4 linked regions of the Arabidopsis thaliana genome follow. The protein of the gene in region 1 interacts with the protein of each later gene in a pairwise test. Each region holds a gene or a part of one and is shown in the gene's direction. Other genes may lie near its edges. The genes, in order: AT3G24570, AT1G62660, AT3G10290 and AT4G37445.

Region 1 (8,153 bases):
AACTGTTATTCCGGTTATCACCCATCACAAAGACTGAATTTTCCGGTACCCTCTACAATGTTGAAGCAACCAAAATCAGAAAAAGAAGAAAAACCACAAGCTTCAGGTTCTTTTGATAATACTTACAATTGGTGTCATTTCATAACCAGGAGGCTCTAAGATGAATTTTTCATTCCTAGCAACACCATTAACCATCAGTTTCCCATTATGTACCTACACATTACCCCAAATCAAAATAACCATCAGCTTCACTATTACAAGCCAAGAGCCAAAAATATGATCATACATACCTCCACAAGGTCACCTTCTTTGGCAACAATCCGTTTAATAAATACATCGGCATCAGTATACCCAACTTCCTGAAGAACTGGTGGACTTTTAAAGATGACAATATCATTTGCACAAGGCTTCCTGAAATAATAACTCACCTGAAACATCAACACCACATCTTAGTAACAAACACCAAAAACCAATCAATGAGAATCTCTTGAGCTCATACTAAAAAACTATCTTTAACTCTAAAGATGTAACCTTTGACATTGTAATCTGATAAAACTAAACCATAGCTTCCCAATTCCTAAACTAAAGCTCATGATTACAAAGCTAAACTAATATAAAGAAAACAATACCTTCTCTGCAACTAATCTGTCTCCAACATCAAAAGTAGGATACATAGACAAAGAAGGAATATATCTTGGTTCTGCGATAAAATAACGAAACGCCAACGATACAGCTATAGCCACAAACACAGTCTGTGCATCATCCGAGGTAAAATCCAACCATTCCGGAAAAAGTCTGTTTTTTTCCTCCACTTCACCTTTATCATCATCACCACCATCTCCGCCGCCACCGTCGCCGGAGTCTAATGACGGCGCAGACTTCGTTGTCTCACTTGAATCCTTAATCCCATAGCAACTCAGAGTTCGCCGGTTTAAATTTGTTCCGGTGTTGAAATTGAGACGTTGGGGGAAAAGAAGTTGGGATTTTGGGGTGAATTGGATAAAATTAGGATTAGGGTTCTTGAGAAATCTGGAATTGGAATCAGATTTGAGAAAAGCTAGCGGCGGAGTAGAGAAGTGAAGAGATATCATCACCATCATCAACTGAAACAATGGCTTTCTCGGAAAAATATAATTGTTTGTAATTTTATTTACCATATCAAAAAAAAAGATCGAAATGTCCAAAACACCCTTTAAGAAAATTGGAAACTACAGATACAAGCATTTGTGCAATGTGAATTATCCAAAAAACATTGTTTGGTTACATTAGTTCACATTTGGCATTTGATATGTTGTGAGAAGTCGGTAGTTGCGTTCTCTGTTAAAAAGGAACACAATGGCTTGGACACTTTTATACAGATACTGACATGATCAGAGCAATAAGAGAATCCTAGTTGTGGAGAGTTAATAATCTTGTTCAATCAACATGATAAAAGAGAAAAAACAAGGGTATAAATATGCAAGAAACAGATTACAGGTTTTGTAGAATATACTAATCAAAAATGCACTAAACTTGGAACATAAGAGCACACAAGTGGGTAAACAAATTTGTCTACAGACATTCCAAGGTCCACTTGTTCCCAGGTTCCATCCACTCCAACGATGTAAGCTTTGTTGCGAGAGGACGCTAAATAACGTTTTTCTTTATCAAAAACAACAACAACTCTCTTCTCCTCGTCGATAAAGAAACTCGAAGCTCTAACTTGAAACTGAAACTTAAGTGAGTGCATATCCACAGCTAAGAACACCTTGCTGTTCCACAACACCGCATTGGGCTCAATTTTGGTTGTTACCCAGATCTGCATCTCCAATGTACTTGAGCACTGAAATAAAACAGCAAGCTGCTCTTCTCTAACACTAGATAGACTCACGGTATCTAAAACACACGGCTGACTCGGCAGAGGTAAACGCGACCTAAATCTCTCTCTTGTGAAATCAAAACAGACTAAGAAAGTATGGCCGTATCCGTGCCTCTCTCTAGCAATCCAGTATGTATTTCCCTTGAGAGACACGCCACGAATATAAGAATCTATCTTCCAGTCTGGAGACACATCAAGAACCTTCCATGAATCAGAGTTGATATTGTAGATTTTGAACTCAGAACAAGTGGGAGAAAAATCAATAAATCTCAAGATTTTGTAGCTGCGGCTTGATTTGCTGCTCTTCTTGTATCCGAGAGCATACGTATACATGTCCAATTTGTGGAAATTATTTGTAGACTCGATCCACCGTGTTTGCCCCCAATACGGGTTCCAAAGAACGACCTTAGCGTTATCTTCGTTATCTTCCGTGATGCATAGCAATAAACCGTCGCAGTGAAAGACTTGAGATACATCGACTTCATCGCCCAAGCTAATAAGCTCACCTTCAGGCTTAATACACGACTCAATGTCATTGTGAACGTTGACTCGAATCAAATAAACCCTAAAATCCATCATCAGGACCATCATAAACTCTTTTTCCTTCGCTGCTACTATTGCTTGATAACCAAGGTGATTCTTTGCAAAGCTCTCACCTTTAGATAAAGTATTCCAATCTTTACAAGTAAGTCGGACGTTTCTCAGAGATGTTAACGAAACCCTAGAGAGCACCTCTTCCGCCAAATCATTAGGGAGATTAGACATCTTCGTCATTGTTTAAGTCTCAACGATGATCGTTGTAACGTAGTAAGTCTCAACGATGATCGATGTACCTTCAAAAACGATTTCTATATGCTTCTGTGATTATCGGTTTTCTTTAACCTTGATGTAACATCAGATAACCCTAAACGAAAAGATTCGATGACGACAAAACAAAATATTTAAAAAAGAGAAAGAAAAAAAACTATTAACCTTTTCCTTTGTGATTACAGATTTCTTCCGCCGCAAGATAGAGTGTATAGGGAAATTTTGGGGGTTTAAAATCCTAAAAAATAGAGAGGTTAAAATGAGAGGTTTCTCATTTGACCCAATTTTCTTCATCGTCAACACAAAAAACAAATTAAATTAGAATGTTAAATGTTAATGGGCCGGAAAGAAAATGTTGATTGGTAAAAGCCCAATGATATTGCAACAGCCTTTTTGTAGTGTTGACTGTTGACTCGAAAAAAAGAAGTGATTAAAAAATTAAAAAGAGAAGAAGACGTTTAAGAAGAAAGCTTAAGCACTGTATCAACCTCTTTCTTCTAACCAATCACAATCGCCTTCTTCCACGGCGGCTCTCCGTCACAGGTGACAGGTCCCAATCTCTCTCTCTCGCGGCGACGGCGAATACGGCTGGTACATAATGTTGAAGCTTTGGAGATGGTACCAGCGATGCCTGACGGTTCATCCTGTGAAAACTCAGGTCATCAGTTCTGGATTTCTTTGGGGATTTGGCGATGTCACCGCTCAATACATCACTCATTCCACTGCGAAACGTCGTCTTCTTCGTCTCACCGTTAGTCATTTTCCGATCTCCTTCTCTCTCTCTCACCTTCGATTGAAGTTTCAAATTGGAGTTTCTCTCCGATTCGTGCGGATTGATGAAATTAGTTTTAGGTTTTTGAATTTGCATCTATGTATCTCTGGGTTTCGTGATATATCTGCGTCAATTGGTTCTTGTGCATCAGTATATTCGCGACATTTCAGTGAATGTGGTAATGCTTCATCAATGTGTTGATTTATGTAGTTCTTCCTTAGACCTTGATGCTGTTTCTGGAGTTTTTCTTTGATACTTGGAATATTTTCCCGTTGTTCTCACCTTCTTGCTGCTAAATCTTTCAAGGATTTGAGTTCGTCTTCTCCGTTTACAGTTTTCTGTGATTTCTTGTTAGCTTATGGTCTCTATTAGATAGATACTGGAACTTTAGGTTGTGTTGCCTAAGTTGTAATTGAGCAATAGCACTCGGATTCTTTTCTAGGCTCTCTCTATGGCTGTGTGAAATTTCTTGTAGTATAACGTCCATTTACTTGTTTGCTGAGATTCCATGATTTCCTAATGGCTATTTTTTCCAACAATCGAAGACATTTTAATGCTTAAGCCAGAACTGTGGGCTACTACAGCTTCAGAGTTCTTTTCAAAGTTTGAACAGTTCAGAAGAGAGCTTATATGGTATGGTGATACCAATACGTAAAAGATACTAATGGAGACAATGTGTTTTGTGACTCTCTATGTTGTTGGTGTGGTATTTTCATGTTAACATTGCAATATAAATCGCCCTTTGGTCCATTGGTGATACATGTTCATGCCGTTATGGATTAGCAGCTCTAGTCTACTGCTTACCTTTTATGAAATTATGCGATACTTCTTTACTTATAACATCTTCTGCTGTGAGACAATCCTTAAAATTCATTTGCCTTTAGAGGTCATGGTATATTGTTTCTGAGTTTAGGCTATATATTGAGATTTTATTGACTTACCTTGGCTCAAGCACTAAAACCATGTTCAATATAACAGGAAACAAATAAAGATGCTGACGCAGATGCAGAAATTAAGGTCAAGTGGAAGCAAGATGCAGAATTCAAAGTCAACTGGAAGCGAGTAGCTATCACGAGCATGTTTGGATTTGGTTTTGTCGGACCTGTTGGCCACTTCTGGTTTGTTTCCTTCTGATCTCAGATCATTTCGTTATAGCTTTTCCTCGTGTTACCGCTCACATAAACTAGTGACACTGAATCAGATACTGATAAAGAATTGTCTATGGTAGATTGATAAACCTGATATTGTTCTATTTGCGGTTGCACAGGTACGAAGGCTTGGATAAATTCATAAAACTGAAGCTTCGATATGTACCAAAGTCAACACGTTTTGTAGCTGCAAAAGTTGCAATGGATGGTCTTATCTTTGGACCTGTAGATCTACTGGTGTTCTTCACATACATGGGATTCGCCACAGGAAAGAACACAGCTGAAGTGAAAGAAGGACTCAAGAGAGATTTTCTTCCGGCTCTAGCTCTTGAAGGCGGAGCATGGCCACTTCTTCAGATTGCAAACTTCAGATATGTTCCCGTGCAATACCAGTTGCTTTACGTCAACATCTTTTGCCTAGTAGACAGTGCCTTCCTCTCATGGGTCGAGCAACAGAAGGACGCAGCTTGGAAGCAATGGTTTACTTCATCATTTCAACCATTAAAAGAACGAGGTGGCCAAGGCGGAGTATGATCGTTTTCCCTGTCATAAACTTTGAATGAAAACAAAAACGAGTGTAATTGGCGATTTTCAATAACGGAAGTTGCCTAGGATACAGATTCTTGAATCAAATATTATTTCGTTTCACGAGAATTCAGTACAAGTGAATAAATGTCTGTTAGTATTGAATGAATGCAACATGATATGGCTAGACTAGAGAAATGAGCTATGACCGCCTCCGAGTGGTATTCTTGGAAGAAACACTGCAGATGCCTCAAGGCATGAACAATAACTGAAGCCAATAGCCTGAAAACACAGAGACGAGAATCAATGTATGGTCTTATAGTTAAATCCGACAAAACAAATGATTTAAAATGGTGATTTCACATACTGGTATGCAGAGTAGTAATCCACAGTGATTGACCAAGACAGGAAGGCTTTTTCTTGCAGCGGCTGGGATCAACTTTAAGGACCTGAGAGCTTTTTGTGAGGATGAAATAGAATGATTTGAGGTTGAGCATTTTGAAAGCTCAGCTAGATATAACCAGTCGGGTTCAACCATGTGCCGAACCTCCATTGATGTAGCAGTACTCACTGGACAATTTCTGCAGTCTGCTTCATTACATTGGTGGTCACTTAGGTTCCATCTGATGAGAAAACGGTTCATGAAGTAGAGATTTTGCCCTAGACAAAGATGTACTTTATCAGAGGAAGCTGCAATGTTGGTTCCATGCTCTAATTCCACTGATTTCTCTTCTGTTTTAGTTAAAAACCGTTTAGTTTCATCCCTCTGCAGTAGACCAATGGTTGTATACGTCGATTCGCTGAGAAGATTGAGCTCTCTGGCTTTACTCAATACGGATTCAGATGCAACATCCAGAAACTGGACTTCAAACAAGCTGGTTGGAGCCACATGGTCAGAAAACGATTTTGCGTCTGCTATGATTTGTCCAAGGTCATCAGATGGAGTTTCATTGAAGGAAATGTTCAAGAGTTCTGTCTTTGATGGTAAAGGACAGTCAACAGAACATGAGACTATAATTTTGGTACCCTTCGACCCTGGAGCAGGACTAAGGTAGCAACCAGCAGCTGTTAGAGATGTCTGAGTAGCCAAATGAAGCAAATGTTAGTACAGATCAAAATCTAGAGAAACAGAACAACTTTGAAAATGATTACCCTGCACGGAATTGCGCGGATATAGTTCAAAAGCAACTTTGAAGTGTTTCCTCTGATTGGTCTTTGCCGTTGAGAGATAAACTGCAGATTCGAGAGCAAAGAATAGTCAAGAAAACACTCAAAGGGCAGTAACTTTACCAAAGAAAAAAACTCAAGATGTAACACCTGCAGGACCGCAAAGAGATACTTTGAGAGGCAAATGTCTTTAACTCCTGAAGGATTAAGTCTCTCTAGATCAAGAATAGCATACCCTTTCTGCTAATTCCAACATCAAAACAGAGATGAATTTTCACACTTACCCGATCCAGAAACAGTTTATACATATGTGCTTAAACTGGAAAATGCTCTTACATCTGTCACTGTTACGGTCTGATGTATTAAGTCTGTACAAACTTTATCAACAAATGAACGTGTTCTCCTGCATTCAGAAATGACTGCTTGCAGCTCTGACTTGAAGCTACCTGAAAAGGAAAACAATAACTTATATTAGTCATCAAGATTTAGAGAACAAGTTTGGTTTGATGTTTGATAGACTTGCCTGATTCTAGATTTCCTATTGATGTTCGAATCCTATTCCGAACAAACAACTGACTACGATTAGTTGGATCTTCAACCCAATCTTGTCTACCCCATTGACATATCTGCTAGGAAATAAGATAAGAGTTGATGTCAACAAACCATAAAACGATAAATTCTTGAGTTTCTAGTTTTAAGAGAACCTTGTACATGTCTTCTTTCCATAAATCTAGTAGCGGACGCACTAAGCGAATAGATTGGTTCTTCATATGTTTTGCATCTAACTGCAGATTTCTGGAGAAAATCTCGGAAGCAAAAGCTGTACCCGCAAGACCAAGTACACCGCTACTACGAGATAACCTGAGAATGAATAACTCAGCCTGCATCCAACTTCAGACAACATTTCATGAACATCTCAACATAACACTTTACTTCTCTAAATTCTCAAAGACCCTTTTACCTGGTCATCTGCATGATGCGCTATAAGCAAGACCTCAATCTGTTGTCGAAAACACACATTCGAAATCATCTCATACCTCATTTCACGAGCTGCTTCTTGCAAGTGGCCAAGCTTTGGTCTACCATCAACCCAATCACAACTTGCAATCTCACATCTGATTCCTATAAACGTTCCTCAAGTTACTAAAACATACTCAAAAAGGTTACATCAAATGTTCTTACTCTAAAAACTAACCCATTTGAGAAACTCTAGAACAGACAAGTTCAGCTTCATCTTTACTCTCTTGTCTTAATCCATGATCAACAACTATAGCAACAAGTCCATCAATAAAACCATCTGTCTTATTAACACAACTTAATCCTTCAGTTTTCCATTTTGCAGTTAGAACACAAAGAGCCATACTATCAGGACCACCTGAAACTCCCAAAGCTGAAACACACAACACAATTTTATCCAATCACTGTTTCTGGTTTAGTGGAACCAATTGAATTTAAAATAGCAATTACCAATTCGGTTGTGAGGTTTAAGTCCTGCCATATCCATTCTCTTATTGAAAAGCTCCTTGTACCTCGTTTCGTCCACAGTCTCCGGGACACAGGCGTGATTACAGAACAATCGTTGTGAGAATTTTGGGTGGCGGGATTGAAGTGGATATGAACAAGTGAAAAGGGTTTTAGGAGAAAAGGAAATTGAAACCCTAGGGATGGAGTTTGAGAGTAAAGTCGAAGACTTTCTTCCATTGGAGCATAGAGACAGACCTCGCGCCATTTACGAACGAGCGAACTCGCGAGTTGTGTCACTTCGAGTTTAGTCTTATTTTACTTTGAAATTTTGGTTTTTGTAATTTGTAATTTCACTTTCACCACTGCCAATAACACAATTACATTCGATTTTTTTGGTCTTTCTATGGTCAAA
Region 2 (9,937 bases), on another chromosome or scaffold:
ATAACGTGGATCACAAGGATTATTTCCGAAAAGGGGAAGTCAGTGACTGGAAGAATTATCATGAAATGGAGTACAAGATAGACATCATCATCCAAGAGCAACTCCAAGGTTCTGGTTTGAAATTCTAGTGTTATTTATAGGGGGTTTGTGTTTTCTTTGATGCAGCATAAGAAGAGTACCTTACGTTGTTGTTATGTTCCTTAAAATGTATTTTGATTGTTAATTTGATGTGTTTTACTATTTCTATTATCGGGTTTAAACCTGTATATACGTGTCTAGAGATTATTGACATGTTTAATACAAAATAAACCATAGGGAATAAAGTGTGTTCGCCTAAAAGATGTCTCTTTCTTCTTTGTTATGGTTTCTTGAGACTAATTCAAGACCGGATTCGCAACCGTCGTAGACTATACTAATTTCAGTATTTTTTCAATAAAATCACAAAATGATAAAAAAAAAATATATTAAAAAAAAAAATGGAAGTTGTTGTTCGGGGTGAACCTAATGACAAATACCTTGAAGACAAGACAGGATGAATATAAACTTGTTCATCTGAGTCAGATCCATGTCTAATCTTAGGTCACTATTCTACCAAGATATATTGACATTTAATGTTAAATAATAATATACGGCCACGTATGAGTTTTTGAATATAATATGATACAGTATCGGTGGTATCGATTTAAATCTCAAATAGATATTGGATTTAGGTGATTAAATTTATGTTCTTGCAAGTGTCGTGTGAAACACCACCAATGATCAAAACGCCATAATATAAAACTACAAGTTCAAGTCATCCATAAAAACCAAATCTTCTATATATTTTCTGAAATATATTGGATATTTGGATGAGAAAAGTTTTACACAAATTAATGTCTCAGATAATATGATACAAATTCAAGTCCTGAGCAAATATGTATGAGAATCTATTAACTATGAACTGTATATATCTGTATATAAATATAATTAGATGTGTGTGCATAGGACTTTTTGAGACATTCTCACTTTTTTTTGCTTGACACAACCAGATGATTGGTGAAACCAAAACGGAACTAACCTATATACGATATGTGTTGAATTATTTTATTTTATATTTGCAGAAAAAATGTGTTAGTATATTGGATAATTTTCCAGGAGAGCACGTCTCATTCTGTGAGACCGAATGGGTCTTTTACATGTGGATCTAGTTTACACACATCTAACAATTTATATATTTTGTCGTTTTTTGATTATTTGAGATCTTGTCTTTCTATTTTAAATCAATTAAAAAGTACATATACAATCCACCAAAACAAAAAACTAAAAATCTAACAAAGAATATATGAAGAATGAACTGAAGACATGCTGCGGTAACAAAAGTTACAAGTGAAAGAAATCAGTAATTTTTTATTTATTTTAGAAGTGAATTTGGTTTGAGACAAACACGAACAATAAACTTATAAATCTACTTAATTAATTTTCTGCTTAGCTGAATGAGTTTCTAAAAAAATTTGGTTGCTTATTAAAGATTAAACAAAATGCCGATTGCAGATCTTTCACGTGGTTAATCAATTTATAAATTTTTAAAACAAAACAATCGAAGTTCAATTTTATTTTTGTCGTAATCGAAGTTCAATTGTTGGATACAGGTCTGACGCGATCGTGATAAGATTTTATATGCTATTTAAAAGAAATCATGTGGCCTGGCCAAACACACAAGTGTTATTAGTAAAAAACTATCTTCAGACTTGTTTTATATAAATACATTTATTTGTATCACCTATTATGAATTGTTTTTTCTCCATATATATACGTTGGGTTATATCTTATTTCAAGTGGGTAGCTTATACTCTCTCTGTTCCTTTTTGTTTGATTGTTTAGAAAAAACACACATATTAAGAAAATATATTAAATGTTGATTATAAATGTATTATTTTTAGTGTTTTACAGTTTTCTATAACTCTAAACCAATGATAGTTAACTATTTTTCTTGAAAATTACAATTCACCAATACTAACCAATAAATATTACATAGAAAACTTAAAAAATTAATCTTTTAGAAACAATTTTTTTTTCTAAACAATCAAACAAAAAGGAACAGAGGGAGTATTTAATTGCATCAGTTACAATTTTGAGAAACTCTCTTACTAAAAATAATATAAACAATTAATAAATAAGTAGAGAGAATGACAAAAATAAAAAATAGTTTCTCTGCAGAGAAACTTTGGAGTAATGATGGAAAAACTATATGTATAGGTATGTGTTTATAATTGGACAGAAACTAAATTATATTAAATATATATTTTTTTTTTTTTTGAAAAACTTTTAAAGTATATGTAAATCTATTGGTGAGATGGCTAAGTTTCTCTTCTTCTATTTTTTCCTTCTGGATATTAAGATCTATTATCTCATTATTATATGTTTAATCCAAGATAATCACTTACCTGCCGGAATTGATTCTCGTTATATGTAAATCATCATGTTAAACAGTTAAAAAAATTGTGATATGATCAAGTCCTATAAAAGTTTGAAATGATGATCAAACCCAAACAAAATTAAGCTTACAAAAAGAGAAAAAAATAATATATAAGCCTTATGTTTAACAAAATGTTTAGTTGATATAAGTCGTTTTTAGGATCTGATTGGTGCACATTTTAGCTGAAGAAAATGACTCTTAACGTCAGCTCAAAACATACCAATCAAGTAAAAAGACAAGAGAAAATAACTATGCTAGCTCTACTCTTCATATAACTGTAAAAAGAAAGAGATGTTTTCACCAATACAATAGGATGAAAATACTTTTCTTTTTTGTTTACTCCATTTAAAAGAGTTACTTTTACTCTATATTTATTATTTATACCAATGAAATCAGACATTTATATCAGTTTATAAGAGGAAATAAAACTTTAAAGAAAAGAGAGAAACATAGCTTTTCGCCAATTTTCACTGTGTATCTGTATTCAAATAATTAGAGTAAAACAAAAAAAAATTATACCCAATCTTAACATAATTATTTTCAGCCTTTATTTTTCAGCTAAGATGATTTACCAATCAATTTTTAGGTGAGATAGTTATGATGCCTAATAAATTGGAGGTGCAAAGTTCAACAAAAATTTTACTTTTATGTTTAATTGAAAAAGACTGCTTCTCAGTTTAAGAACTATGGCCCATTTATAGATACTGATTAAAACGTGGATTGTAAAATGTGGGCAATCAATATTATTTTAAAAATGTGGAGCCATAGTTATTAACTGTGATTAAATTTCCCCCTCCTCCACTTTCACGCAAACTAATATTTAAAACAGTCTTAACTGTGATTCAAGTAATAAGATTTTTCTTTTATTATTATTTGACAGTACTTCCTCCGTATCATTTTAAGTGATATTTTAGGAAATGTTTTTAGAATGTAGAGTTGTAGAGGAAAAACTAGCAGAAAAACAAAAATGCAATTTATATATAGTACAGAAGGTTAGTTTAATTGTGTTTCGAGTTAAATCTCTTTTTTGATATGGAAAATTATTCTTTAAATTAAAATATTTAACATTTGACTTTGGATAGGAGAAGATTAAAAGCTGAAAAGCTGGAACTTCAACACTTTTGAGAAAAGTGAGCTACAATAGTATTAATCTTACCATTTACTGATAAATAAATATATACTTTCTGTTCAATTTTAATAGTTTTCAAATTTATTCTTGTTGCACATAAACAACATAGGATATATAATTTTTTTAGTTAGGAAATATATGCTTTTACGTTTCTATGAAAATTCTAGATATGATTATAATTTACTCTTAAAATATGAAATAGAAAAATGGAGTGGAATATTATTATTTAGAAAGATATATATATATATATATATATATATATTTGTTTGTATGCAGAATGTTAGACCAATATAATTAGTGGACATTTCTATAAAAAAACAAAAAATTGTGGAATGGATGGGATAAAAAAAAAAGAGAGATCAAAGATAACATTTTAAGATGTTTTTCTTTCTTTAATTTTCAACAATTTTAGGCAATTTAGTAGTAGGGGGAAATGTATTTCTATGAAAATCCAAATATATGCTAATGTATGCAACAAGGAAAGATATAGTAACCAAAACTCCACTTCATATTACAAACAATAATTATTTTTATAAAAGTATTGACTTGTCGTCTGCAAACGTGATTACGTGAACCTTACTGGTAATAATACAAAAATCACAGCTCTAATTTGCCAACCCAATCCAGATCTCTCTAGTTCTCAACTTCTCATATAATTATTCATTAATATATTTATTTTGAGATTTTGGTTGATTTTTTGATATATAAATATTGGACTTGCCATTTTCTATTACAACCATCAAATCTCAATAAAGCAAAACGAACAAGAAAATGGCGAGCACGGAAGCTCTCTTACCCGTCACGTCCCTACAAGATCCATTATCTGAGTCAAGATCCGACCAGATCCCGGAGACCCGTCGGAGACGACCCATCAAAGTTCATCTTGCAGTCTATTCCGGTTTGCTCTTGATCGCTTTGTACGTCACTCTCATCGTCACACACGACGGCTCCAAGGCTGAAATAGCGACGGAGTCACGTCCTCGTATGGCCGGCGTGTCGGAGAAGAGCAACGACGGGGTTTGGATATCATCCGATGATGGGAAAGTTGAAGCGTTCCCGTGGAACAATACTATTTTGTCGTGGCAACGCACGGCGTTTCATTTCCAGCCTGAGAAAAATTGGATGAACGGTACGAACATAAAATGTTCTTCTAAAAGATTATTTTATTAGGTATGAATAATTGATTAATTAATCATTATTGATTTTTATATTGTTAAAATAGCTAAACAAAAGTGTTTCATCTTTACAAAGAATGTTCATTTTTCCTTTTTCTATAGATTTGAATTTCGTAACCATTTATGAGACCATAACTTGAGGAACAAGATTTAAGTAAACACGCAAGAGTGAATTTCAATAATTTTGTTATTGTATATTACTGTATCATTTGTAATTAATTTGTTGATGTTGTTTTGTTGTCTATCGAATGGCGTCGTGAATGGCAAATTTCTGGCTTCTTCGTCTGCAGATCCTAATGGTAAGCTCTAGATCCTACACTGAAGTCTTCTATTTTTGTGCTTCTAAAGATTTCCTTTGACCATTATTTATTTTATATAAAATAAAATATGGATTATAAAAATTTTGATTGGCTACACAATTGATAGATATATTTCAAACCCGTAAAATAGTATTGGTAGATAGATATATGACAACAAGGCACGTCCTTTGCGGACTACAATTAATGTCATTGGATAAAATTGAAAAAGAAATATTGGCAAAAACATTTATTAATTTACACGTAAAAAGTTTTTTTGTTTATAATGTAAAGTAAACAGACAAAATCTGAACAGAAAGAGTCATTAAAGCCAATCAGTTTACTTTGTTTTTGCCTGTTTTGTATATACACCACGTGAGTCATGTGCATATTGTACAAATCATTGCTCACCTATTATTGTGTTTGGACAGTCCCCATTTGACTCATTCTATTAACCCAATTGTAACTGAAACGTCATATTTTATTTATTTTCTTCCTTAAAAGTCACAAATATACAGTAATAACAGCTTATTGAAGTTATGAAACGTCGTACTTTATTGTGGTGTTTTATTAAGTAAACGTGTTTCTTCTATTGTTTTTTATTGTTTTTAAACCACTATCTCAGCATTTCAGAACAGAGGATGAATATATTATGCTATCATTTCGAATTTATATTAGTAAATTTGAAGTCATAATTATACTTTTTGAATGCTAATACTCAATTTGTGATTATTTTACCAGTGAAATGTTAATCCGAACAAATGAAATGTTAAACGTGTCCAGGTCCATTGTTCTATAAGGGATGGTACCATTTCTTCTATCAATACAACCCAAATGCAGCTGTGTGGGGTGACATTGTTTGGGGTCACGCCGTGTCAAAAGACCTTATCCACTGGCTTTATCTCCCAATAGCCATGGTTCCTGACCAATGGTACGATGCAAACGGTGTCTGGACCGGTTCAGCCACTTTTCTAGATGATGGCTCCATTGTCATGCTCTACACCGGTTCCACTGACGAATTCGTACAGGTACTGAGTTTCTTAAAATCTTTGTTCGTTTTGTTAACTAATTTTTAATATTGAATTTTCCATCAGTTTTTGAAAGTGCTTTTGATGGATTTACAGTAATAAGTAACTATATAATAAGTATTGTATTGTTGCCGAATTCGTATCTAGCACACTAAAAAACATCATAATTGGTTACAAATCTTTTCAATCTAAGGTTGGTCTGACAAATCAATGGCTGATATCATTTTGATTATTTTAGGTTCAAAACCTTGCCTATCCTGAAGACCCAAGCGACCCACTTTTGTTGAAATGGGTCAAGTTCTCCGGTAACCCTGTCCTCGTACCGCCTCCAGGTATTGGTGCAAAGGACTTCCGTGACCCAACAACAGCCTGGAAGACATCTTCTGGAAAATGGCGAATCACCATCGGTTCCAAAATCAATAGAACCGGAATATCTCTCATTTATGACACTACCGATTTCAAAACCTACGAGAAACACGAAACCTTGTTGCACCAAGTCCCCAACACCGGAATGTGGGAGTGCGTTGATTTTTACCCGGTGTCGAAGACTCAGCTCAATGGGCTCGATACTTCGGTCAACGGACCAGATGTCAAGCATGTCATCAAGGCTAGCATGGACGATACTAGAATTGACCATTATGCCATTGGGACGTACGATGATTCAAACGCTACATGGGTCCCCGATAATCCTTCTATCGATGTCGGAATCAGTACCGGTTTGAGATACGATTACGGGAAATATTATGCGTCAAAGACGTTTTACGATCAAAATAAGGGACGAAGAATCTTATGGGGTTGGATCGGTGAATCTGACAGTGAAGCTGCTGATGTACAAAAGGGTTGGTCTTCTGTTCAGGTACCTTTTCTTCACGTAGCGTGCTATGAACGTTAGGTCTTTGAGTTACTTGTTACCCGAGTTAGGGCTTAACTTTTTTTTGTAACCATGATCAGGGCATCCCAAGAACTGTTGTATTGGACACAAGGACGCATAAAAACTTAGTCCAGTGGCCAGTTGAGGAAATCAAATCATTGAGACTAAGCAGCAAGAAATTTGACATGACTATTGGACCAGGGACTGTGGTTCCGGTCGATGTGGGTTCCGCCACTCAGCTAGACATAGAGGCTGAGTTCGAGATCAAGACCGATGATCTCAAGTTATTCTTTGATGATGACTCTGTGGAGGCCGACAATAAATTCAGCTGCGAAACAAACGGAGGCTCCACAGCGCGTGGTGCTTTAGGGCCTTTTGGATTCTCGGTTCTCGCTGACGAGGGCTTGTCAGAACAAACTCCGGTTTACTTCTATGTGACTAAGGGAAAACATTCAAAACTCAATACTGTCTTCTGCACTGACACCTCAAGGTTATCAATCTATACCCATATATTAATAGATTCTTCTATTATACAAATCAAGTAATTATTAATTAATCAAAATCATTTTTTATAGGTCGACTTTGGCAAACGATGTGGTGAAACCAATCTATGGAAGCTTCGTACCGGTCTTAAAAGGAGAGAAATTGACAATGAGAATCTTGGTATTACATTAATAACCTTATTCATTAGTTTTCGTAAAATAATTTAATATCTTTCCGTTGTTATTAATTTAAATGTTTATTATTAGGTTGATCATTCGATCGTAGAAGGATTCGCACAAGGTGGAAGATCATGTATTACCTCAAGAGTATATCCCACAAAAGCTATCTATGGAGCTACCAAGCTCTTCTTGTTCAATAACGCCATTGATGCGACCGTTACGGCGTCGTTTACGGTCTGGCAAATGAACAATGCTTTTATTCATCCTTACTCTTCAGACGATCTCGGTGTTCCTTCCAGCACCTGATGAGTTTTCTCATCCTTTCTTGTTAGTCTTTTGATTGTTGTTAAATAATATGGGTTTGATTTTATCTGTGTTTGATTCATCATGTGAGTGAAGAGAAGAAAATAACATTTATTTTCTCCTTTTTTGAAAGAGTAAATTATTTTCTTCGTACAACATCAATAAATATGAAAGAACAACGTCACCGATTATCTTTGTAACCTTTTCCACACTTTCACCGATCAATTGCGTGATGCATGATGTTGAATCATCCGTTTGCATGACATGACGTTAAGAAGAAAGTTTGAATATGTAAAACATTCTTCATTTTTTCTAGAGAGGTCAAATTCTGTCTCTAACTTACCTTCGTACACAAAGCCGTGCGAGTTCTAATGCTGGTACAGACTTCAATTTCCTTGACCAATTTTTGAATGTCCAAGAGCAAGTTGTAAAATGGCCAAGAACTCCACTTTTCTTGGCAATTTCGTGTTAAATGGAATCCACAACCAAACAATAGAAATAACAAAAGAGCTGTTCTCAACTGTAATAATGATTTGCATCTTGCGAACATCACTGTAATGTCATTTTTCGTCTCATGTGAAATCATATATCAAGTGTTCTGAATGATCATATGAGCAAAGAATGTGATATGGAGACTATAACTTTCTTATAGACGGTTGTATCCAATAAAATGGGAAGTTTTAGCTGCCTTCATTACCTCGAAATAAAGGAGATAGGCAGAAATTTACCTTTGTTAATGCGGGTTCTGGTAATGAGCTTTTTATACAGAATTCCACAATTTTTTCGAGATATCAAATTGTAATTTGTGAGCTTTTTATTTTATCTCCTACAAGACCACTAAAACAGTTGTAACCATGACTCAATATGAGTTAAAAAGCTTAGCAGTTCACAAGACAATCACCAAACAAAAATCATTGAGCTTTGTGAAAAAGAAGGAAGGGGAGAAACAAAAGCAAAGTCACCCTCGAGCCCGAAAAATCTCAATTCGAAATCTGAAATCTGCTTGAAGAGTGCTCCTTATCAACCCTTGTTTGCAGCCTAACAGTAGTAACAGATAAATAACAAAGATTAGTATCAGTCATGTTCAAGAAGCTTACACAAAACCGTAACCAAAATATACACATATTTATCTGCCTGTAACATGAGAACATCCGTTAAGAAATAAGCAACGTAAAAAGGTTAATTCACCTCGCAGATGCTGCTTTCAAGGGGATATGGTTTGCTCGACTATTCTCTCGACTCAAGGATGATGAAACTGTTTTAAGAAAGCATATCGAGGAAGCTTTTGTCCAATCTCCCATCATGTAACATATTAGTGACCAAGCCAATGGTTGAAGCATCTCCAGCAAACCCGCAACTCCTCATTTCTTTGATGAGTTCAGCTGATGCTTCTCTGTCACCATCTCTAAGGCGTGCCCTAATCAGCGTATTATAGCAACCGCTGTTTGGAAGAGTCCCATCTTCTTTCATTTCTTTAAATAAGGCATCTGCTTCCTCCTTTGAACCTTTCCTACAAAATCCTGATATCATTGTATTGTACGCTACAACATCCGGCTTCACTCCTTTAAGGCTGAGATTACAAAATAGATCCCACCCATCTTCCACCTTCCCTGCCTTGCACATCCCTTCAATCATAATATTATATGTGTAAATAGTAGGTTCCATTTTACTCCTTTGCAGATACTCGAATACAACCATTGCTTTCTCTAGCTTCCCATTTTTACAAAGTCCATCTAACAAAGTGTTGTATGTCATAATATTGGGAGGCACGCCATCAGATACCATCTCTTTGAATATTTCTTGAGCCATATCACAATCTCCAGCTTGAAATAACCCTTGGATAAGAATGTTGTAAGTGACAGTGTTGCCAACCAATCCTCTTTGAGACATCTCACGGAAGACTTCCATACCCTCTTCTACCCTTTTATACTTGCAAAATCCCTTTATAAGCGTATTATAAGTCACTACATCTGGAAAACAATGCTTGCTAACCATGAACTCAAACATCTGCTTGGCCT
Region 3 (7,977 bases), 5.8 Mb from region 1:
GATCTAGAGTTGCATATTCAAATTAGTCTTGCTCAGCCGTTGGATTAAAAAATTCTTTACCTAAATCAACGGTTCAAATTTATTTAACGTATCGCGTCAATTGCACGCGACCCTACATGTGCGATATTTTTTATAAAAAATAATTAAAAGTCAGATCGTAAGAGTTCTATGCTTTAATAACGGGAAAATCTATTACATTATCACTTTAATTGTATCTAAAAACAACATTTATGTTAAATGTTAATGTTAATATGAATTTCAAACTAATTGTAGTAGAATAACAAGAAAATATGGATGAGTGATGAAAGAAATTACTCATTTTTCTTTAATTGAGTCAAAAAATTTATAAATAATGCGAACCATGAAAATTTGCATTTTCACCAACTATTAAGATACACTAGATCATCTGTGCTAAATATTATATTTTAATAAATATAAATTTTAATTATTTAATCATTTACTCATGCAATGAACGACTACTGTTAATATTAAAATACATTTTCTAGCAACAATCTTCGTCCTAAACCATTGCGTACGTAATAGATTTGATTTTGGCTTCTTCATACCCATTTGGATTACTTGGCCTCGAAACTTAAGAAAATCGAGTTTCACTTTTTGAAACACAAATGCTGTCGTTACTGTAATTGGAAATATTGGGCTCTTAGTCCATTCAAACTTATTCCACAAGATTGGTTACTAAGGTTTTGCTCATATGAAAAGAAGACCCACGTCTGAATCTTACCGGAGAAAGATAAAAAGACAACAAATAAAATATCCAAAAGCTCACAAAGAAAATAGAGTTAGAAAACAATCTCTTTGGTCAACAAAAAAAAAAAAAAACAATCACTCAAGCGACGAGGAATGGTAAAACAGTGAGCATGAAGTTCTCGTAATTGAAAATAGCTGAGCCTGATAACGCCGTATCCTTCTCCTTGAACTTCTCGGTGAGCCCCTGCGATTATTTTTTATCAAAACATAACATACATTAGACACATTGTAAAGGAACAATCTTGAATAATTCAAATGGTAGAATTGCATGAGAATGTGACGACCCAAGCCATGAAAATAGCATACCTTTACAGTCAAACAACACCTACATCAATGGAAAATAAACCAGAATCAGTGATGAATTATACTTGTTACAGAGTAAGAAAAGGTAAGGGGGTTGAAACGAATGAACATACTCGATGAAATTGTCATATTCGATAGCCCTGTTCCTGCCTCCGCTTTTGTCAAACTTTGAAACCAGCAGATCCAAAATCACAGGAGAAACAGAAAACCCAAGGCTCATGAGTGCATCTCTCAGCTCGTTTGTATCTATTCTACCGCTTCTGTCCTTATCAAACCTCTCAAAGATAGACTGAAACCAATTCCAAAGAAGCAACACCAAACAAAACCCACATGAGCTAACAACTCCCAACATTCTTGACCAACAATTATCATCAAACCATTAGAAAAACCTTTGAACTTACCCTCCAATTCTGAAGACTAAAGAAAAGTGAAGTAAACTCTTTTGGTCCTGCAATTTGGAGTTCTTAAATCAGTATATACTCAAAAACCAGGCTAGCAGGGAGAATAATTAAAAATTTGACTTTTTTTAATACTTTCAACTTGAATTAATAATAATACAACTTGAGGATTTGGCACCAACGATCATCAAAGTCAAACCAAACAATATGCAGAGGAAAATTCAACAAGATAATTCCAAAAACTCAAACCTAGATTGTTGAAGCAAGACAATCTTCTAGTTCTAGAAAGCGCAAAAAAGGAAAGACCTAGAACAATCAATTTGAGATCAGTTTGAAAGAAAGAAGAAACTGACCAATCTTCCTGACATTGCTGTTGGTGAATAGATACATAAGGAGATGAACAGTTCTTATGCTGAAGCTCTGATTATACGAAGATAGAGCTCCTTGAAGCTCCTTATCATCGATGAATCCACTATTGTCCCGATCCGCAGCTTGGAAACAAGCCACAATGTTCGGATCTGTTCCGGGAGGAAACGCCGACGGAACCAGAGACGCAAACGGACTTCCATAAGAAGCTTGCGGAGGAGGAGCTCCGTAACCTCCTCCATGTCCAGACTGCTGCGGCGCTCCTCCGTAACCTCCTCCATGTCCAGACTGCTGCGGCGCTCCTCCGTAACCACCGTAGTCGGAAGGTCCAGACGATGGATGAGCACCGTAGCCACCGGGAGATGGAGATCCGTAGGAGGCGCCGTGAGGTTTCTCTTTGTGCGGCTTATTATGGTCTCCTGGAAGAGACGCGTACGGTGCTGACGGTGGTGCACCGTAAGGAGCGGGCTGAGCTCCGTAGGGAACTGCGTACGGTGAGGAGGCTGATGATCCGTACGGAGGAGGAGGATTGCTGCCGGATGATCCGTACGGAGGAGGGTTATTGCCGGTTGATCCGTACGGTGGCTGAGGAGGTGGTGGATTACCGCCGTAACCGTAACCTTGGCTTGATGGAGGATAACCAGACATGGTGAGAAGAAGAAGAGAAGCTTTCAGAGAGATCAACGAAGAAGAAAGTGAAAAAATTAGTTTGCGAAATTTGGAATTATGATATAATGAAGAAGGAAATTAGCTAAGTCAGATATTTTGGGGTTTGGATTATTACGATGAAGCCATTAGTTAAGAACGAATTAGCTCTGTACGCGTTGAGGGGTGAAATCGTAATTTTAAGATGATATACGCGGCTGACGCGTGACGACTGACGCGTCAATTAAAATGAACGAAACGGCTGAGGCCCATTAATGAAATGAAATGGCAGACGAAAAAACAAGAATGTATTGAGAGCCTTGAGGCCCAGTATATTAGTTTTTTTCTTTTGGTAGGAGGCCCAGTATATTAGTTAATTATCCAAATAATTCATATCTCGCACACATTTTTCTTTATATCATGAAAAGTGAAAACTAAGAGAAACGTTAAAACTTCTAATTTCGTGATACATGCCATCAAATAGCCACTAACAATCTCAAAATCTTATATAAACCAAACATGAACCAACAACAAGTCCAAAATAAATAAACCAACAAGGCAAAAAGAGACTCCCAATAGAATACGTAAGTTGTTTTTAGTATTATACATTTTTGTTAATAAACCAAAATGTACAGACAAAATCTAACAAGTTTTCATGATTTTACGAATCACAAGTTTTAGATATAAAGTATAATATAAAGAAGTTCTGAGACATTGGCCTAGTCCTACTAATAAAGAATAAATCTAGACTTTTGGACCATTTTTTGGTAAAGAGCCGAATTTTTTACCTAATCTGGGGGAAAAAGATTTTGTTTATTAAATTTTATTTTCCTCTTTGATTATCATAATAATCAATGTAACACAAATACAACAGTTTTATACATAATAATTTCAAAACTCCTAAATAAGATTAGTCAATTCAACTTTTCTCAAATATACTTTCCAATTTAAAAATACATTAATTAGTCAACTGCACATTAATTAATATATAGATTTCAACTTAATAATACATTAATTATCCCAAACAAATAATTTGTCAGTTCAACATATATTTATATATCTTTAAAAAAATTAAAACCTTCGTTTTTTTGTAATCCATCTGAGCGCTTCAAGAATGTCGTCCCATGCTCGAGGTAAGGAGCTAATTCCTCTCCTGTCTTTCTCCCACCAAAAAAAACAACCAAATCTCTCGATCTCATCGACGACGAAGATGAACAAGAAGAACCCAGATCAGAAATCCGACATGTCGTCTTCTTCATCTTCTCCGAAGAAACAAACCCTCTTCATATCATCCTTAATCATTCTCTGGTACACCTCCAACATCGGTGTTCTTCTCCTCAACAAGTTCCTCCTCTCCAATTACGGATTCAAATTCCCTATTTTCCTCACAATGTGTCACATGTCCGCTTGCGCTATCCTCAGCTACGTCTCCATCGTCTTCCTCAAGCTCGTCCCTCTCCAATACCTCAAATCTCGTTCTCAGTTTCTCAAGGTTGCGACTCTCAGCATTGTCTTTTGTGCCTCTGTCGTCGGTGGAAACATCTCCCTTCGTTATCTCCCTGTCTCCTTTAATCAAGCCGTTGGTGCTACGACGCCGTTTTTCACTGCACTCTTCGCTTATATCATGACCTTTAAGAGAGAAGCTTGGGTCACTTATGGCGCTCTCGTCCCCGTTGTTACCGGTGTCGTTATCGCCAGTGGGGTACGTCTTTTTCTCTACAATTCTCGTAATGAAAACGTCTTTGGTTGTTGATTTTGATTCTGCCGATTTTGAAATATGTGTTCTTTTACCTGTAGATTGTGATGTCTGATTTGTTGTTAGTTTAGAGCCATTCAAGATGATTGTTTGTGTTCCACGTATGTGTCTGAAACCCAAAATAGGTTTGCTTAGTTTCATGAATGTGATTACATTCAGTATACAAATTCAATTTTCCCTGTCAAGTACAAATTTGAGTCCTCTGTGGCTGTATTATCTACTTATCTAAAGCTTCATCCTTTAATGCGTTATTCCAGTCATGTGTTATCTAAAGCTTCAGACTTTCTTCTTGTAACTATTGCCATTCTTACATTCTACATTGTTCTGTGAATTATTTGATCTCTTTGCTAGGCCTTAGCTATTGAATGTTTTGTTTGTTGATTATGGGATTTCTGTATTGAATGATCCTGCTCTGGGTCTGCCTTTGTGGTTACAGGGTGAACCAGGTTTTCACTGGTTTGGATTCATTATGTGCATTAGTGCTACTGCAGCAAGAGCTTTTAAATCTGTTCTTCAAGGCATCTTACTTTCTTCCGAGGGGTAAATCCGTTAACTTTTCTTTTGCATTTGGTTACTCAATGAATCAGAAAACCTTATTATATGCTATAATAATGTAAAAGGTTCTGCAACTACAGTTGGATAAGCAAAGTAGGAAGCTGAAGCTACTAATGCTCATCTTAGGGTTTAACAGATCGTTAAGTTTTCTTGCAGAGAAAGGTTGAATTCGATGAATTTGATGCTGTACATGTCTCCAATAGCCGTCATTGCTCTTCTGCCTGTCACAATTTTTATGGAGCCGGACGTGATGAGTGTGACACTAACACTCGGAAGACAACATAAGTACATGTATATACTTCTGCTGGTTAACTCTGTAATGGCTTATTCAGCCAACTTGTTAAACTTTCTGGTTACCAAGCACACAAGCGCACTTACCCTGCAGGTAAAAATACTGAAAAGATTTTGAACTTAAACAAAACTAGAGGAGTGCCTAATTGGATCAAACATGTGTATGTTTAATGTTTCAGGTCCTTGGAAATGCTAAAGGAGCGGTTGCAGTTGTGATATCGATCCTGCTTTTCCGAAACCCGGTAACGGTGATGGGAATTGGCGGGTACAGTATAACCGTTCTCGGGGTGGTTGCTTATGGAGAGACTAAACGCAGGTTTAGATGAAGCTCAAAGACTGATATTTTCACTTAACTCATTTTTGTATCTTAACCTATAGACTTATACTTACTTATATATGTAGGTCGATTCTATGACTTATGTTCTTTTTGTTCTGGAGTTGTTGTGTTGCAAACTTGCCAGACACTTTGTATTCACTCACTCAGAACCATAAAATGATCCAGTTAAATTCATTTTTTTAGTTCGATTCTACCAATACGCAGGTTTAGATGAACGCAACACAACAATTCATGTATACGTATAAAGAAACTGAATCTGTCAAACTGTGGCATGTTGCAACCTTCTGGCATCAAATGAGAAATCGGGTCTGCCCATTCCACATGGAAGATGACCATTGTTTACATTCAAAACCAGAATACAATGGTCTCTTCCGGTCTTCAACCCATTTTCCCTTTGCAGAGTTACAAACTGAATAGGAAACCAAAATGCATCACAAAACCAGACTATAATATCTTGAGATTCAAAAACTTTGGATCATAAACTTACTAAATAGTAGAAGACATAGCCAAAAAAAAATGAATACTAAAAGCTGTGGAGAGCATATAAATACCTGAAGAAGATGAAAACTGACGTTATACATCAAAAAGAGAATCATGAAGCGAGTTTTCCTCAGAAACCAGGAGTAAAATCACCAAAAGAATGATGATAATCAAGGCAAGTGATACACTCCCTCTGAATATATGACTTTTTACCACCAGACATCTTAGAGATTATCATCAACAAAGAAAACGCTTAAGCTCTTCTATATGAATTGCATTGGTTTTAATTTTGTTCCAAGCTTTTTGTTTGACAACAGTTTTGATACTTCGGAAAAGAGAAGTAAATAAATATAAACATAGGAAGGGAGGAGCTACATGTCTACTATTTTTATTTTATAAGCCAATCAGAGCGTTTCATGTCATACCCCACTCTCACCTCTCGGGCAATTTCACACCCACTCTCACCAATCGCGTGATGAGCGCGTGTATACGTTTTCTGTGGGTTCTAACCCACCAAATGGCTTGTTTTGAAACACACTCGCTCCTTTAAAAAAAAGCCTCGAGTGCGTGATTTCAGTGTCTTTCTCCTTTAATTCCAATTCAAACCCAACCGAAATCAATTGAATTTTTCAAAACCATGTAAACCGAACCGAAATTAAAACACAAACGACAAACTAGCAATTGTCACTTCCACTATTGATCCAACTCCGACGAACCAGATTGATAATTTTGATTCGATTCCACACAGATAACATATAGTCCAAACCAAACGCAATTCATAAGAGAGCCAAATTATTACGCTATGTTCGAAGCTTTTTTAACTTGCCACAAATCAATTCACAAAATAAGAAATTGTGCTCAGAAATTTTCAGAAGAATTCTCGATCATAACTTTATGCGGTGGTGGTGGCTGTGAATAGCCAACGGAGATTGCTCCATGAGAAATTGAACCGGCATCGCCGCCGGTTTCATTGTCCACATAGTAACTCCGATTGCTGTGCGAGTTTATCTCAGTCTCCCTTATTGCGGTAATGGTGAAACCAGTCCACATATATTTTAATCAATGGATTATTGGGCTTTTTATATTAGGCCCATTAAATTCATCCGGCTTTTAAATAAAATGAGTTTTGTGATAGTCCGAGACCATTGCATTCCTCAGTGAATACAACAACATTATCTGTCTTACTAAATGTAAATGACCATATCAACAAAAAAAAATCGACTTGTTTGTCAATAAATAAAAATTCCTCGATTTCCATATTCATATAAAAGAAATAGATACCAAATTGTTGGCAAAAACAAGCAAATAATACATATTTGTGGGGAGAGAAACAAAAAAAAAAGCTACACTTTAATAGAAAGCTAATAACATATTGTTGACTTATGATAACTTGTAACGTGACTTCACACGCGTAGTAGTATTACTTAAAACTTAGGTCACGTGAACTGGATACTTATGAACCGAGTCACCCCACGGGTTACCCACCAATGACTCGTTAGCCGGAATCGTTCTCAATGCTCTCCACACAATACTATTACATTTAAAACCCGACCCAAACGCCAACTGCCAAACCCTATCTCCTCGTTTGACCCGACATTTAGCCTCCACGTAAGCCAGCTCGTACCACAGCGACGAGCTTGAAGTGTTTCCAAAGCGGTGCAAAGTCATCCGAGACGGCTCAAGATCAAACTCACTAAGTCCAAGACCTTTTTCAACCGCGTCAAGTAACGCTCTACCACCAGCGTGAATACAGAAATGCTTGAAACATAGTTTAAAATCCGGAACATATGGACTAACCTTTAACCGGAAAAGCTTACTCTTTACCAAAAAGAGGATAAACCGGAGTTTTTCAGATAAAGGCAAAACAAGCGGACCAAGTGCTGTTAGATTCGTCTTTAACGTGTCACCAGCAACAACCGTTAGTTCTTTAGAGAGTGCGACTCCAACGATACCTTTACTATCTTCTTTTTGTTCAGCACAAGTGTAGTGTTTATCGCTAGAGCCTTTGTGAGTCCTTACAATATGAGTCAATTCGTACTTAGACCGGACTCGGTCTTGACTCCGGTTTGAGAGCATAA
Region 4 (6,666 bases), on another chromosome or scaffold:
CACCGACGCGCCGCTCTCAGAATTTCCACTTACTCATTGTCTTTATATTCAAAAACTCAAAAAAAAAAAAGTATTAAGAATGGCTTAAGACCGAAACGTGTTTTCTCCTAGTCTGGCAAAACACAAAATAATAAATATAAGGAAACGCTTATGAATACTTTTCAATATTCTACATAAAGTCATTGAAAGAAGGATTGGAACAAAGTGAGAAGCAACAAAAAGAAATCAAAATCGTAGCTCCTAAGCAATACGTTTCTTCATTGGCAACGGTTTTGATTCCATTTCGACTCGAATGAAAAAAGGCCAAAGAGTATTCAGGCAATTACGGTGACGGTGGCAACAAATTATAGATTAAAACGAGCCAAAATAGAAGAAAGTGCCAACAAATCCGTGTGGGCACCAATCCAAAGTGGCAAAATCAATCAACCAGCTGTCCTCTCCCTCTAACTTCCGATCAAAGACTCTCTTTTTTTTTGTTTACGTTTTCTTTTCCTCATTCTCCTTGTCTTATTTTGATTGCATTATATTGAACTTGAGTTTAATCATTTTTCATTATTAAGGTTATTTATTTATAGACGCATGATGCATCAAGTCATAATAATTTCACCCGTGATGATCACATAATAATACTAATCCAAGACTCCATGTGTCGTACCCCAAAAATTTATCTCAATTATACTATGTACCTTATATTGTGCTATTTTTTTAACTAATAATTTCCCGACAATTTAGTAGTTGGAAATTTCTCGACCGTGTGATATAATCTATAATATAAAATATCATAATTATTAAACAATGATAAAATTTGTGAGCGACATTGGTATCAATTTCAAATCCAATTATTATGTTGACACAAGACTAGTGATTTATAGTATAACCAATTTAATGTCTAACGTAAAAACAATTACTATTAATTGATTTTCTATATCTGATCATATGTTCAACAAAACACATGCTAATCTACCCACCATTGGCGAATAAATTTATTGCAGAATATAACAGGAGAAAAATGCCAAGAAAAAAAAATCCTTATAAAAACGCACAAGAAAAAAGTAAAAGAGCTATTCTGTAAAATAAAAATGAAAAAAGTATTGAATCCTACATTAATAGATACAGGATATGATGTTCTGTTTCTCAACGGCTACATCTGTCTGTGATCCTTTTTTAATCCAACGATCCAGATCTCTCCTCATCGCCTATATAAAACTCACTTCTCTTACATCAAACAAACAACACGCTTGGTTAAACTCCATCAGTACTTTAACCATCACTTCAAAGTTCAAACTCTTTTTTTTTTTTTTGTTTGATCCAAATTTTAACAAAATTATGGATCGCAATTTCCTCCTAACAGTTACATTGATCTGCATTGTCGTCGCCGGTGTCGGTGGCCAATCTCCTATCTCTTCTCCGACCAAATCTCCCACCACTCCTTCTGCTCCAACTACTTCCCCTACTAAATCCCCCGCCGTTACTTCTCCCACTACGGCTCCGGCGAAAACTCCAACTGCTTCGGCTTCTTCACCGGTTGAGTCACCAAAATCTCCGGCTCCTGTTAGCGAGTCGTCTCCACCACCGACACCTGTTCCAGAGAGCTCTCCTCCGGTTCCTGCACCAATGGTTTCTTCTCCAGTGAGCTCTCCACCGGTTCCAGCACCAGTAGCTGATTCTCCTCCAGCTCCGGTAGCCGCTCCGGTTGCTGATGTACCGGCTCCTGCTCCAAGCAAGCATAAGAAGACTACAAAGAAATCGAAAAAGCATCAAGCTGCACCTGCTCCGGCTCCGGAACTTCTCGGTCCACCTGCACCACCGACTGAATCTCCCGGACCTAACTCCGACGCTTTTTCTCCCGGTCCTTCCGCCGACGATCAGGTACATTAGCTTATATCAACAATGTTGATATTTATCTACCGTCACAAGTTCGAGTATCAATGTTAAAAATAACCAATGAGACATTTCAAAACAGTGAACATAGATTTTCAATTTTTGTTATATTGATTTAGTAATTACATATTCGATTAACTAAAATGAAAATATGGAATTGAATGCAGAGCGGAGCAGCGAGCACAAGGGTGTTGAGGAATGTAGCGGTGGGAGCGGTTGCAACCGCATGGGCCGTTCTCGTTATGGCATTCTAAATTATTTATCATTTCACCTCTGATATTTTTTAGTTTTTATATTTTTGACCCTACCATTGTCTCTTTCTTTACGAATTTGGTAATGAGTATTATTTAATTGATTATACAGTTTGTTTTCTTTTATTTTATTTATATGGAAATAATAAGAATTCATATCTGTCAGTGATGAAAATACTGTTTTACACATTGATTGTTCTTTTCTTTTGCAGACAAAAGTCCTTTAGTGATGGGTCCGAGTTCTTTATTGAAAATGACACATTCAATTTTAATGCAGAATTATGGACATTTACTCTAAAATAAAATGTTTGTGTAAGTAACGTCTATGTAACAATAAGCAAAGCAGTTACATAATTTGTTTTAGTCTTTTAAATGTTTAAAGTGTTAGTAAATCAAATGTTGATATTTACGTTTGAAACCAATTACATGTGTTTCTTTAAACAAATATTTACAATTGGAGTATAATTATGCGAGAATGAAAGTGTCAGCTACTTAGTTGGATCTTAGTCTTTTATAATGTGAAGTTGGTAAATATTTATTGAATTCATATCTGATACCCAACTCAAGTGGCCAAGTTGCTATAAATGAATTGTCTAAAATTTATTACTAAACATGTATAGATCCAACCAATCATATAATACAATGCTTTTTATTGTACCTTTCAAATAGCTAGATTCATATTTTTGTCTTGTTCCTTAGAGAACTAGATTTGAAAAAGAAAAAAATTAATGGATATCTAATATGGTAGGCAAAAAGAAAGTGAGAATAGAGGACAAGTCATATTCCCCATGCTTTTATTAAAAGTACATTACTCAACTGTGAAGAAATGGCTAAGATTTTGTAAGTAAAGCACAAGTTATACTTGAACCAAGGTCTTGTGTAGAGATTCAAGATTCTTGGCTTTGCAAAGACACAAACCCACCAAGCCAAGTCTCTGATTCCACACACCAATACAAATTTGTATATAAACATAACATTTTCTTCTTCCTAAAGACTAACTTCTAGACAATATGGGTAGTTCAATGGGCTTTCTCGGAAAAGGTTTTGCAATTTTTTAACCTAACAATTATCGACTCAAATCGTTATATAACCGTTTTGACAAATTTTCGTCCTATATATCTTTCTAAATAGATTTCGATATTTGGCCTAGGGGTACCACCGACGCAGATGATGAATATGGTAATGGGTTCACTCTACAAACAATTTACCCAAAAAGCTATCAACAACTTCGACGATTTCCACGTTGCTGTTTTAGACATCTTTAAGTAAGGATTGTTTCATTATTTGATCATTCGAAAACAATGGTTATGTTGGCCAACATTTTTTTTTTTAAAAGGAATTTTATCTATTGAGTGCAGCAACTTCAACTCGGCTTTACCAGGCAGGCACTTCGATTTCCCAACCCCGGACCAAATAAAGGTGAGTCCTCTCCTCTATCAAAATCACACAAAGAATCTTATAATAATTTCTCTATATTTTTAACACAATGTTGAATGATCTAAACAGGTTTGTTTCGCGCGGTGGAAGGAAGCGAAAGACGAAGAAGAGAAGAAAAAATTGTTCATTGAGTTCATGTCAAAGAGCGTGAAGCCAAGTAAACTCGATGATGTCACTATGATCACCGGAATAGTATCTCCACCGGCGGCAATGGCGGCTAAGAGAGCAGGAGAGAATGTTCCTCAGTTAAAATTAATCAAACTTATACCTGATGTTATATTCGTCCCTACGGTCACCATTTTAGCCATTGTCTCTGCCAAACTCTCTAGACGAATGTATTTGAAATAGTGTTTTAACTAAGCTTTCTTTCTTTTCCAAACAAAAAAAACTTAGCACCGACAAGATATAAAACATGATTGATTGATAATACAAAATAGAGAAAAATATATACACTCTAAATTATAGAAGTAAAGTTCAAAAGTTGATGTAGTTTGAATATATTGTTGACATGAAGAATCAAAACACAGCCACTATAAATATTTCTTTGTACTTTAAAGGCTTAAGAGTTAAGAATATCTTAGAATGAACAATTTTTACTTTTTAACACAAGATCCGATTAGTTACTTGAAAGTTTCCAAACCTTCTTCAGGATCTTCTTCGTAACCCGGCAGAGCCTGACCTTCGTTTTCCTCGCTTTCTCTTCCTGTTGGAAAACCTAGAAGCCATCACAGCATTAGACTTTGGCTTCTCTCTTGAAACCCGACGCCTCTTTGGGTTACTCTCTTCCTTCGTAATGATTTCACGATTGCGCGGTGTTCTTTTCCTTACCTGCGTTGTGTTAGAATGGCATATGAGACCAAAAGGGTTTAGCAAAGTTACACTGAGTTAGCGGAAAACTTACAGGTCTTGATGGACCTTCCTCAATTGAAGCTTGTTCTGTCTTCACTAGATTCTTATCGGGAATAATAGATTTCCCTTCCCTTCGCTTTGATGCTAGAATCTCAGACAGTAAAATATCTGTTGTCTCGTCGTCTTCAGGTGAGACGTGATGAGATGAAACTGAAGCAGATTTCACCGGTTTTTCTTCAGAGATGATCGATTTCTCATCTTCGTTTTTGATAGCCAGCAGGGGCTTTTGTTGTTCTGAGCTGGTGTATACATCAGCAGCTCCAAGTGGATTCACTGTGTTAGCCAGAGGGAATATACTTGGATTTTCACTCAAAACCTTGTCTACGCGGATCTTCAAGTTACGGGCTTCTGACTTTGCTGCTTCAATTTTCAAAAGTATCTGTTCCAAGTACGCATCGCCTTCTCTAAACTCGAGAGGCGGTGTCTCTTCAGAGAAAGCTGTCTCATCCTTGGCGCTCTTATTCTTCTTATCTGATGACCCAAGACAGAAAATATTTTATAAGATCAAAGTTTTCAAAAGGAGTAATATCATATCATAGTTGAGATTTTAGAACACCATACCTAGGTTGCGGGAGTTGTCATTAAGAGCAATATCGGCCAAAGATTTCCGACAATCTATACAAAGATCAGAAACAATAAGATAAGAAATTATTAGACAAGTAATGGTAGATGAACATTAATCACGACCAGAAAGACAAGAACACCAAACTAGTTCCATACCATAATAAGAGAAGAGATTATGGTTTGATGCATAGGATGTAACATCAGCGGTCTCTTCAACTCGCTTTCTCGTTTTCCTCTTCATGAGTCGGGTTTTCTGAGTATAACATGGAAGAGGAGGTAAAGCCTTTACTCCAAGTTCTTCTGATTTGACATTTTCTAACTCCAACTTCTTGGCTTGGTAATATTCTTCAACTTCTTTGTCGTACTTCTGTGCTTGGTTCTGAAGTTCTTTGTATTTGAGTTCAATCCATTTGCAACGCCACATTAAAGTAGGCTGTACAAACCTCCTCCAATGATCAGTCAGCTTCCTTTTTCTGCCATAAAAAGGAACAAACCATAATAATTACCGCATACCATTCACGATATAGAGCAATTCTTCTCCTGACTTCCTTAAAAGGAGATAAATCAAAGACGCAGCTAGCTAAGTCGTAGTAAAGTAACACACAAATTTAAGTCCTTTCAGAATCAATCAAACAACACATAGATGGAACTGATAGTGTTCAATAATAAGTAACAGTAAACAAGGCTACCAAATCCATGAAAATCTACAACACCAAATTAAGCTACAGACGTTTTTCTCATTAGTACAGGAACCCAAGTAACTCCTAAATTTCAGTCTTTTAAGAATCCAGCAACATAGAGATGGAACTGATAGTGTTCAATTAAAAAGTAAAAGTACACAAGCTACCAAAACCATCAAAATCTCTACAAAACCAAATTAAGCAAGAGGACATTTTTTTCTCATTCTGCTATTGGTTAAACACACAACAAACCTTCATGGAAACCATTAAGATAAAAGACTAAATAAGAAGCGTGAGGAAAGAGCTTACCTCACCCAAAGAGGAAGTGAAGTCTCATTACAAATCATGGAGTCAACTTCTTGATCATTCTCATGTTCAGAATCCGTTCCACCAAACGAACTCGAATATCCATCAGTCCCATCATCACACCCTGAGACTTGAATCTCAATGTTATCATTGCATTCCAATATATCAACCTCGTCCTCGTCGAACTCTGCAACCTCTTTTTTAATAGAAGCATCAGCATCAATATCATCACCACCACAAGGAAGATCCTCAGTGACATCTTCTTCAACATGATTATGAAAACTATGGTCCTCATAGTTACTAGTACAAGGCATATCTTTTGGTAATTCCCCAATCTCCTTATTGACTGAATCATCCATATCTATCTTCGATTCCTTCACCTCCATACCAAAATATCCTTTTTATTTCTTCTCAATTAAAACCCTAGAAAAATCCGGAATCAGTAGAGTCATAAAGAACTAAACTTGAAATTGAACAAATTTTCGAAAACTTTCATCACGTATCCATATGCGTCGAATTGGAAAGAGAAAGTGAAGAAGAACACGAATTTACACAAAACCCTAATGTAAAGTTCGAAGCTTGATAGTCGATGAGATCACAATTTCAAATGCAAAACAACAAAAACAAAAACCCTAAGA

Evidence for each region.
Region 2: the proteins of AT3G24570 (region 1) and AT1G62660 interact in a protein complementation assay, tested with the Arabidopsis thaliana proteins (one large-scale study listed by BioGRID).
Region 3: the proteins of AT3G24570 (region 1) and AT3G10290 interact in a protein complementation assay, tested with the Arabidopsis thaliana proteins (one large-scale study listed by BioGRID).
Region 4: the proteins of AT3G24570 (region 1) and AT4G37445 interact in a protein complementation assay, tested with the Arabidopsis thaliana proteins (one large-scale study listed by BioGRID).

Annotation. Positions count from the first base shown.
Region 1 is NC_003074.8:8,963,641-8,971,793, reverse strand, and holds AT3G24570 (Peroxisomal membrane 22 kDa (Mpv17/PMP22) family protein), read left to right. Parts: upstream 1-3,117; 5' UTR 3,118-3,170; coding exon of another isoform or gene 3,171-3,263; coding exon 3,264-3,416; coding exon of another isoform or gene 3,417-3,533; exon of another isoform or gene 3,534-4,278; intron 4,279-4,415; coding exon 4,416-4,555; intron 4,556-4,704; coding exon 4,705-5,119; 3' UTR 5,120-5,273; downstream 5,274-8,153. Other genes in the region: PLSP1 (plastidic type i signal peptidase 1), read right to left, coding at 1-52, 127-213, 291-428, 630-1,157; AT3G24580 (F-box and associated interaction domains-containing protein), read right to left, coding at 1,496-2,632; AT3G24575 (uncharacterized protein), read right to left, coding at 3,171-3,533; RSY3 (Adenine nucleotide alpha hydrolases-like superfamily protein), read right to left, coding at 5,300-5,392, 5,478-6,188, 6,263-6,343, 6,428-6,517, 6,614-6,723, 6,801-6,903, 6,982-7,158, 7,239-7,399 and 2 more.
Region 2 is NC_003070.9:23,195,594-23,205,530, forward strand, and holds AT1G62660 (Glycosyl hydrolases family 32 protein), read left to right. Parts: upstream 1-4,018; 5' UTR 4,019-4,355; coding exon 4,356-4,713; exon of another isoform or gene 4,714-4,985; coding exon of another isoform or gene 4,986-5,049; coding exon 5,050-5,058; exon of another isoform or gene 5,059-5,838; coding exon 5,839-6,083; intron 6,084-6,321; coding exon 6,322-6,939; intron 6,940-7,034; coding exon 7,035-7,444; intron 7,445-7,529; coding exon 7,530-7,617; intron 7,618-7,703; coding exon 7,704-7,922; 3' UTR 7,923-8,215; downstream 8,216-9,937. Other genes in the region: RPF2 (rna processing factor 2), read right to left, coding at 9,180-9,937.
Region 3 is NC_003074.8:3,180,942-3,188,918, reverse strand, and holds AT3G10290 (Nucleotide-sugar transporter family protein), read left to right. Parts: upstream 1-3,491; 5' UTR 3,492-3,594; coding exon 3,595-4,182; intron 4,183-4,672; coding exon 4,673-4,776; intron 4,777-4,947; coding exon 4,948-5,176; intron 5,177-5,261; coding exon 5,262-5,408; 3' UTR 5,409-5,516; downstream 5,517-7,977. Other genes in the region: AT3G10300 (Calcium-binding EF-hand family protein), read right to left, coding at 844-1,093, 1,185-1,360, 1,473-1,519, 1,823-2,483; KCS14 (3-ketoacyl-CoA synthase 14), read right to left, coding at 7,331-7,977.
Region 4 is NC_003075.7:17,601,395-17,608,060, reverse strand, and holds AT4G37445 (calcium ion-binding protein), read left to right. Parts: upstream 1-3,116; 5' UTR 3,117-3,142; coding exon 3,143-3,173; intron 3,174-3,263; exon of another isoform or gene 3,264-3,282; coding exon 3,283-3,397; intron 3,398-3,490; coding exon 3,491-3,551; intron 3,552-3,638; coding exon 3,639-3,917; 3' UTR 3,918-3,967; downstream 3,968-6,666. Other genes in the region: AGP18 (arabinogalactan protein 18), read left to right, coding at 1,120-1,869, 2,049-2,135; AT4G37440 (uncharacterized protein), read right to left, coding at 4,215-4,397, 4,471-4,949, 5,040-5,093, 5,199-5,515, 6,032-6,414.